Oreochromis niloticus: one gene and its partner. The main gene of each other region encodes a partner of the protein of the gene in region 2 in a complex. Links are inferred from orthologs where the notes say so. Each region holds a gene or a part of one and is shown on either strand. Other genes may lie near its edges.

Evidence for each region.
Region 1: the proteins of ptpn23a (region 2) and zfyve9a are in contact, whole or in part, in a crystal structure (PDB 5MJY), measured with the Homo sapiens proteins. The link is inferred for Oreochromis niloticus from reciprocal best matches to the Homo sapiens genes PTPN23 and ZFYVE9. Residues at the interface, in NP_056281.1 of Homo sapiens: Phe62, His125, Glu137, Lys141, Val142, Cys144, Thr145, His146, Gln148, Cys149, Leu189, Lys192, Ser193, Asp196, Arg198, Lys199, Leu202, Arg205, Ile206, Ala336, Leu338, Leu342, Asp348, Ala350, Val351; in NP_004790.2 of Homo sapiens: Glu2, Tyr4, Phe5, Gln6, Glu8, Ala9, Leu12, Asp13, Val15, Leu16, Asp17, Phe19, Glu20.

The regions. Positions count from the first base shown.
Region 1 is NC_031982.2:25,242,934-25,247,581, forward strand, and holds the start of zfyve9a (zinc finger FYVE domain-containing protein 9), read right to left. Parts: upstream 2,894-4,648; 5' UTR 2,632-2,893; intron 2,602-2,631; exon of another isoform or gene 2,479-2,601; intron 1,932-2,478; exon of another isoform or gene 895-1,931; intron 887-894; 5' UTR 748-886; intron 645-747; 5' UTR 551-644; intron 545-550; exon of another isoform or gene 1-544. UniProt on the Homo sapiens protein: Early endosomal protein that functions to recruit SMAD2/SMAD3 to intracellular membranes and to the TGF-beta receptor.
Region 2 is NC_031976.2:31,628,747-31,633,394, forward strand, and holds the start of ptpn23a (tyrosine-protein phosphatase non-receptor type 23), read left to right. Parts: upstream 1-1,622; 5' UTR 1,623-1,786; coding exon 1,787-1,870; intron 1,871-1,905; exon of another isoform or gene 1,906-2,050; intron 2,051-2,426; exon of another isoform or gene 2,427-3,755; intron 3,756-3,884; coding exon 3,885-3,959; intron 3,960-4,648. UniProt on the Homo sapiens protein: Plays a role in sorting of endocytic ubiquitinated cargos into multivesicular bodies (MVBs) via its interaction with the ESCRT-I complex (endosomal sorting complex required for transport I), and possibly also other ESCRT complexes.

The sequences.
Region 1 (4,648 bases), on a different chromosome or scaffold from region 2:
TGAACACAGGAAACCTCAAGTGATCGCTTCCTCTCTTTAAGAATAGACTGACATCACTTTCTACCAGCATGATCGCCTGACTGAGTGACACATTATTATGTAATGTGTGCTATGCTTAACGCCCAGGCTGGAAGTACACTGGGAGTTGTCCTACCTCCTCCTTCTACTCCTTTAAGCTTTTTTTTCTGCTCTTCAAGACAAAATAAATAAAAGCAAAAACACATAAAAGGAAAACATGCCACAGGTTTGTATTCTCTGAAAGGTCACGCTCGCTTAAAAATAAAATAATTTCTTTGACAGGAGGTTGAAAAAGTTAAATCCCCTGAGATTTACCTTCAGGAGGAAGGAGGAAAGTAGCTGTCCTCCTGTTATAAAGAGCTGCTCTGCTTCACAGAACGTGTCAGAAGCTATTACGAGCTTCCTTTCTCCCTCATGTTTGATCTACATTTAACCACCACTACAAAGAAAGAAAAATCAGCACAGGGAGACTGGCTGCTGGTCTGCCATTGGGGAGACTTGTAATTCTTTCTGAAAGCATACAGTAACCTACATCTGGGACGTCTCTGCACACATGAGAGCTCGTCTCTGCACGGACGTCTGTTGGATCAGTCGAATCACACATCCTCACTGGGATTTATAACCACCTGAAGATGAAGTGGGATATCTTAATGCTTCATGGGAAAAAAAACCAACTTTCACATCAACATTGCCAAATACCATCTAGTACCAGATGATTAATAAACATACATTTGGATATCTGGTGGTGACGTGGCTTTTTCTTTGGTCCCAAATTCATTTTTTAATTTGCCGCTGCTGATGACTATTCAAGGTGCCCCTGGGACAGGCCTACTTCTGGATAAATCCACCTCCAGGCCTGGACTAAAGTCTGGACAACAAATGCAAAAGTCGCATCAGCAAGAAACCTGTTAAAAGTTTGTTTGGACTAAACTACCATAGATACAAAACCAACTCACTCACAGTGGTTTCTTGTATATACAACACTGACATTATTTCATTACTTCACCTTTTTTCATTTTTGTAAAACTTTGAGCATATGTAATATGAACATCCACTCATGTAACAGTGGCAAAAAACAGGAAAAGCATAATGGGTAAGAGACTACTCACTGACATAAGAGGTCAGTAATTCAGGGAGCTGTAAAGGAAGAGACTTGTGTTGCAAATATTTTGCACCAGACCATGTTTAAACTGCTCATCATCAGCAGATAGATAAGAGAGGACTTTGACATAGAGCAGAGCATTAATCAAAATCCAGTCTAAATGTTACTATAACCCATTTTTAAATTAGTTTTCCATTATTTTGTAACCTGAATTTCCTTGACCCACCAGAGGGGTTCAAGCCAGCACCAAAGGGAAACCCACCTTCCCCTTGTATTATTAAAATCTATTAGAAAGTGTAAGGATTTTATTTTTAAAGGCATAATATCATTTTTTTATGAAATTGCCAGGATAAAAGATACAGATCCGTCAAATAAGATCATGGTCTTTACTGTAGATGTGCACTTGTGCAGAGCAGATAGATGACCATTTGATTAGCTTATGAAATCATAAGTAGCACTGTTCAACCTGAGAAGCATAACTTACCTAATCAAAACGTTTTTGTTTTTTTTGTTTTTTTAAAGTAATCCTAACTGAACTGCACATTTTTTAACATATTCCGAGTTGATTTTGAAATTCTTCACCATCCAAGACCTGGTCAGAAGCAAAGAGACCAAAGATGTAGCACCAGGAAAGCTCACCAAACCAACCCTTGAGAGCGCATAGATGACCACTTGCTTGGATTATGCAACCGTAAGTGGCACTGTGGCTGTGCCTGCTGCCTGCAGGCCAAACACAGCCTCGCTGGATGAAGATCACTCTCAGTTAGACTGGGAAAACACATGGAAAGCTACTCTGTGTCATTAAAAGAAGGTGGGTTAAACTGGTGCAGCTACACAACAGCAGCGGTGAAGTGTTTGTCTATTTGTTTGTTAACTTGGGTAGTTGTATTAGCTGGGCAGCTAGCTGAATTTAACCAAATTCACGAAAAAGGCCACGAGTTAAGTTCCCAAAACAATTCTGACCCATTCGTCTTAGCAGTGTGGCAAAAACTGAGATTTTAGGCGTCAAATAATAGCACTTAAAAGCAGCTGGCTGTACTGGAGAAAGCTAGAAATAGACCTAAAGATTGAGCGGGCAGTCGTGCGCCGAGTGACGGGAGAGACTTGCTGCGCTGGCGGACACTCACGCCGTCACTCGGTGGGTTCCGTTGCTAATGGCCAGTCATAACGGTTAATAGAAACCATAAAAAGCCTTCCTCCTCACATTAAGTCACCCACACCAAAGTATTTTCCTCCTGTCGCACTGCTATCAACCTCATTGGCTGTCTATCCGCAGCTCGCAATGCAAAGGAGAGCGCGTTGTGTAATAGACGTAAGATATAGTGTTACCGTAACGGCACCTTCTCCATATTCCTCACCGTTTATCCACCAAATACGCCAAAAAAGATAGCACCGCAGCCGTCCACGCTCACTTGGGCTGCATCGATAGTTGGCGTTGCAATGGCGGTTTTGTAAACGTTGAAGCAACAGCAGACCCGTGAAATGTCACGAAAACAAATCCAGTTACTCACCGGAGGAATCCTCATCTTTACGTAAAGTCCCGCGGAGCCCCTCCGTTAGCATCCGCCATACCTGATCGCCTTTCAGAGCTATTTTTGAGTATCCGCCTCACGTAGACCCACCACCGCCTGCCTGCCTGATTCAAACAGTCGAAAAGTAAAGCTTCTAGTCTAGCGTAGTTGTGCGACAGCAGCACTCAAGGATCCCTCCCCCAAGGTTTAATACTGGGGAAAAGAAGGAGCAGCGGTAAGTTAGCCAAAATGGAAATCCTAAACTACCGGTTTTCAAAATAAGACGCAAAGCATCTCCCTTAGAGGTTACATTATAACGCCAAGAGAAAAACTGTGAATGCAGATCTAATTAATTTGGATATCATCATTACTTTTCTTTTATCCTTAGTTGTTTTTGTTTCAAACTGCTTATAAAATAAACCAACCACCCACAATTATAATTACTATGTTTACATTTAAGGAAAACAAGCAATTCGGTTACAGATAATATATCGATTAAAACAACCCATCTTTTTGATACTGTAACAGCAAAGTGTCTACGTTTTACGTGTAAGTTGTTATTGTATTATTTTATAACTAGATAAACAAATACCCTTTTCAGGAAAGTTCTTTTTCCTTTTTTTATTCTTAAAACATGTTTGGAGGTGTCTTTCAGTAAAAGCCAGTCCATGTTAGTATTAAATAATAAGAAGAAGAATATATTCAACAGATAATGAATGAAAAAAAAGAACAACTAGCAAATTTACAGGAAAAGAAATACAAAACATCCCAAATTTTAAATATGATTTCATTCAGTTTTATTTCTACACCACAGTCACCTCATGGTGTTGTAAGGGAAATACCCTAAATATTAGGGAGAGATTTGACTATTTGCTTGTTTATAAAACAGGAAAAAAATGCTTTTCAAATAAGGAAATTTAAAAGTAATATAGTGAAAGGTCTGGCTGTGTCCAAATCTATTCGACAGTCTATAATATTAGGCTAAACCCATACATATTTGCAAAGGAGGAACAGACTGTATTTTTTATTTAGAAATGACTTAAGCAACTAAAGGCTCTGCAAAGGACAACACTTTATAGCCTTTTATCACGTGTATGTAACATATGATTTACTGCCATTCCCACTTATTATTAAGGTTTAATTTCTGAGCTCTTACTTTCCCGTAAACAATCGCGCAGTTTCCGGTGTTGAACCAACTCTTAGTGTCAAACTTGACAAACCTCCAACCGTTCAGCTCCGTCCAGCCTGCACTGTGGTCCAGCCGCCGCCGCTGCAGCAGCAGCAGGGACATTTTGGCTCAAACGGAGCGGAGGGTGAGGTGCTGAGCCCCGGGGCGGGTCCGCGGCTCCGTCCCGCTCACGACACCCTAGAGCCAAAATGGCCATTCATCCCCGCTCTCTGTAACCTTGCCAGCCCTCGCAGAGGATGACAGGCATGGAGGAATTGATCAGCACGATGCAGCACCGTCAGAGGTGATCAATGAAATGGGATGTGATGTGTAAAAGCACCCAAACTCTTTTAACCCCTCCGTACTCGCAGACCCGGCTGCAGTTTTAATAACGCAGTGGTAAAAGCAATATAAACAGTTCCTGTAATTACTGATCGGGAAAGTGCAAAACAGTGACTGTAGTAATGGATGCAAACCTACCATAGGAGAATGTAACGTGCTCAAGCAGATATGAAAGACTAATAAAAGTCTTAATGACTTTATTATTGGTTTGTAATGTATCAATAATAATAATAATAATAATGATAGGAGAAATGATAAAACTAAATAAAACTGAAAGATAAAACTGAAATTAAATGAAACTGAGTACAATTGCTCACTTCCTCTTTTCCATTTTTAGATAGTCAACCTCTGTTTTTGATGATGCAGAAGAGCACTTTTATTAACTTTTCCCCTCTTTATCATTGTTCTGCTTGTCAAAAATTATCAACATGAGTTTAATTTCTTATAATATTTAGACAGCTGAAATGCTGTTTACGTTATTCTAAGTCGTAATGCTAGTAAATGTTG
Region 2 (4,648 bases):
AGTTTTTCTTTTTTATGTAATTACAAGAAGGGAATGATGTATGAGTTTGTCACAGACTAGGGAGTTTCCAGCTCTCTCTCATAAACTGCTGCAAATATGACAGCTAATCAGCCAAAGTTGACACTCCATGGTAACAGAAATGTAAATGATCATAACTTTCACTCACACAGTCGGCTTTACTTTAGGAAAGGAGATGGGTCTGCCCCATTTCATTAGCAGCAGTCCTTTAATTCATAAATATAAATTATCCTGGATGTGGCTGTTTTAAAAAGATAAAAAAATAAAAAGGTGAAAGCTCCAATTTCTCCACTTATTTTAAAATGCAGAGATTGTGTGAACATGCCATAAATACACAGTGCCTTCAAAAACTGCCACTAGTTACCAGAAAAAACATTTTAACAGGTGACACTGTTTACAGACAGAACTTCATTCCCAGTTTGCATAATTTTAACTCTAATGTCTGTATGTACAGTACAGTAACAGCACAGTAGTAAGTAAGTACAGTAATCTGACAAATGTTGGCCTTGGGGAGAGTAAAAAGAGTAAAAGAGAAGACAAAAAATAATTAAACAAAAAATATATACACAACTTTTGTCAAGTGTATGTATATATATATATATATATATATATATATATATATATATATATATGAGCACTTTTTTAAATTTACAAGCATCATAATTGGCACCGACCTTCAATGTTGTTAGCAAATGTTATTTTTTTCTTAATAACAGCTATAAGGTATGAAAGATATAGGTGGACACGTAGGCAGCCCACAATAAATTAAGAATATGTAAAGATCTGCTCAAATATTATTTTTACTTTCTTAATATTTATCCTGCTCAGTATGAGGCTTCAGCCCTCTACTGCCTCAGTGCTACTGCATGGTGAGAGGGTCCAATACAATGTAAAGACAAAACAATCAGTGGTCCATGGAGGTAGACGAGCATGCACATGCATCTTATTATGGATTAGGCTAAATATTATTCCATAATTAATCTGTAACAGCTTCCCCAGGCTGTGACCCGGTTGTTATCAGAACTCTGACATTATGATCCCCGGCATCTGCAGCCCAATATGCACTTGTCATACCACTGTTCTCTCCAGGAGAATCATTCACTCATTGGTGAAGTGCTGAAAATAAAATAACCAATAGGCTGCTCAACATTAAAAAAAGAGTATCATTGTAAACTATTTCTTAAAACAATAATTCTTATGTTAAATTAAACAATTAGTTTAAAGACATGAGTGTGCAGTTGTAGTTTAATTTATTTATTTACTGTAATATTTTAAAACTAAAAAGTTAAAAACTACGACTACATTAACCAATTAGCTTTACATAATATAAATGTATCATTAAAAAAATCATTAAAAGTATAACCAAAAAGTTTCACACTTGCTATGGCAATTTGTATCTTTCTCATTTCTTCTGATACAAGAAAATCAATGATATTGGGTTCACTTTTTTACTATAAAATATTTAGTTGTAAAGTTTTAAATAAGTTGCGGCTGTATTATAAAATTACACTTTAGCTACTTTCCAGTGTGATTTGTATATCCTAAGTCTAGTTTCTTCAGGAACTACATTTCCCAGAAACGCTCGCAAGCATATCGAAGGCCTGCGTCACGTGTGTTCCCAGTTTCCGGTTGAAGTGTAAATGGATACATGACACAGTTGTTTGGGGGGAAAAGCTATCTTCAGGAAAATCGTTAACGTCCACAAATTCGTCAGCGGGATTTTGACATCGCACCGACCGACTGACAGCTCCGTGTAGATTCGGCCGCGATGGAGGCGGTCCCCCGGATGCCGATGATCTGGCTGGATCTGAAAGAGGCTGGGGAGTTCCAGTTCAGCCCGTCCGTGAGGCAGGTGAGCTGGGTGGGGAGTGGAGCAACAGGGCTGAGGTCGAAAGTCAACCAAACAAGGATTATGAACGAAGGGATGACCTTATCAAGAGGGTGCCGCTAGCCATAACTCAAAGCAACAGTTGTCGCTACCTGTCGAGGGTAAAAGAATTTTCCAGAACGGGTAGCTGACGTGCTAGCAAAGGTCTGTGTCAGGCAAACCCCTCCTGCTCACTGCCTTTGTTTGCTAACGTTAGCGAGCTGCTTGCTAGCTGGTAATAAGCTAAAAACTCAAGTTGATATTTAGCTTTCAGCTAAGTGGCTAGCTCTGTAGGAATCGATCAAAATACTGCCAACGCGAAAGGCATATGTGCGTATTTCTAGGACTCCTACATCTCGAGTCAGCCTTCCGACATGAGAATATTAAACAATGATCTCATTGTCACATGCACCTGAGCGAGCGGAGCAGTTTGTACTATTCAAACTACCAGCCTGCTTAATAGTAAACACGGGTTTACATAAGCTTCTATAACGAAATACACAGGGAAAGTTGTCACTACACCTGTGACGCTACTTCTTACCTTAACCGTAAGAAAGGTGAACTATCCTGTTATGTAGCGCATGTTAAAAACAAATAAAGCCATGTAAAAACAGAAACAAACAAAATTATAGAGGACAAATATGGAAGATAAAGACCCTTTAAAAAAGAGGAAGAACGAAAAGTTTCGGGCCCTTTTTTGGTGCCTTCAAATCCATTCTGGGAGAAAACCTTGTGTATGTGAGCATCCAAGTCCAAGCTTTGTTTTTCCTGTTGGGCGACATTACAACCTTCATGTGTTAGAAGAACCTATTCCTGTATGGTGTCAAAAAGGGATTTCGCTTTTAGCTTGGGAAAAAAAAGAAAGAAAATTAAATATTAACAGATTTTTTTTAGGCCTACTGCTTCCAAAGCTCATCTCGGATATTTAAACTCCAGATCATTTGACTGCTTATTAAAGCTGGTATCATCTTTATCTGGTGACTCATTTGTCTTCCCAAACGTCTTCCTCATGCACGTAAAAGGACTTTGTCCTCATGACTAAATACAATAATCAGAGGGGTTATGTGGTTGGTTTGGTTTGTTTGTTAGCAAATCGTTATGGCGCAGAGAACAAAATTGCACTTGTGAGATCATTGTTTCACAAATGTATGTCAGATTTATCTAAGCAAATTTGAGAGACGTTATCTTGATGTTTCCACAAAAATGTCACAAACTGATCTGGATCCAGACATCCTTTTAGATCCAAGGATTCACTTCATACATGGTGTGGAGTATATTTTTAGCCACTGTGGAGGTGGAGATGCAGTTTCAGACTTTCTTATTAGTAATTCTTTTTGGTAATAGTAAGACTTATTTTGATTTAATTTAGCGACAGAGTGTTTTTTTAAAAAAATACTAAGAATGATTATTGTATTATTTTTATTGGCCTTAAAAGTGTAGCCTTTAAATAAGGGGTAGTCGATCAGAACAACATTATTTTAAAAATGTATCTAAAATGCCAACATTTTCTCTGTTTACCCCAAACTAATGCACAATAGCACATATTTGGCCTGAAGGAGTAACAACATGACTGTGTCTGTCTTCTTGCTTTGTCATTGTGAACTTTCCATGATTGAATTAAAATTGAAACAAAAGCACTAGTAGAAGAATGAGTGTATCTGCAGGGCTGTTTACCTCCTGACCTGACAATTAGTAGCTTAAAGCTTATTGTAGTGGCTTATGGGGGACAGTGTGAGTCCTGGCAAAGCATGATGGGAAGTCTTGAAGCTCCAAGAGTCTAAGTGCTTGGCTTATGCTCAAGACTAAAGATTAACATAATGAGTAATAAGCCCCAGTTCAAAGACATTTGAATTTTTTTTTTTCTAAACAATTTAACCCTCAGTATTAGAAATGATATATTTATTTCTGTATTAGGATCTAACCCTTCATTTAATTTTGTTTTTACCTGATTTTCAGCAGCACATTCACCTCCTTTTTGCTTCTGCTTCTTTTTCTCTAGTTCATCTTAAAGAACTATGGAGAGAATCCGGACAACTACAACGAACAGCTGAAGAAACTGGAGACGCTGCGGCAGGTGAGCACTGTGTCAAAGTATTCTCAGTCAGATTTCTGTGACTCGGACTTGTCCATCGTTATGTGGGTTGCTATTGAATATAGTGAAACTGACTGTTAGGCATCTGAAATTAAGTGTTCCCAACTTCCAGGCATAGTTCACATATGACTATGAATCCTTACTGGGATATTGCCGGGGTTATAGTGTTTGTTGCAGGACGCCGTGTTCTGTTGACAGTTCTTCTTTCCCACCATTGCCAAGTGCTTCTTCACAGGGGATCTTTTGATTATTGGGATTCTCTCTCTAACACTGCAGGGTCTATACTTTTCACTATAAAGCACCTTGAAAGGACTGTGTAAATAAAATTGTGATGAATAAACTGGGTTATCACATAAAGTCATTAATATTTAACCTTAACAATCACAATCCCAACCAGATGGTAAAAGAAACCTCCATCCAGTGCATCACAACTACAAACTGTCTGTTTTGTGATGAGGGTAAGATCATCATGTATAGTCATATGTGTGCAGTTTTACATTAATAGTAATATTTCCATGTGGACAGGGATTTTCAATACAAAAGATTCTGATACAAGTTATTAATCATATCATAATGAGGCCTTTGGAAGTGTTGCCAAGGAAAATGATAAATTCTGAGCATTAAGCACTGAAACCCATTGTTATATAATTCATCGCTGGGCTGGGTCACAG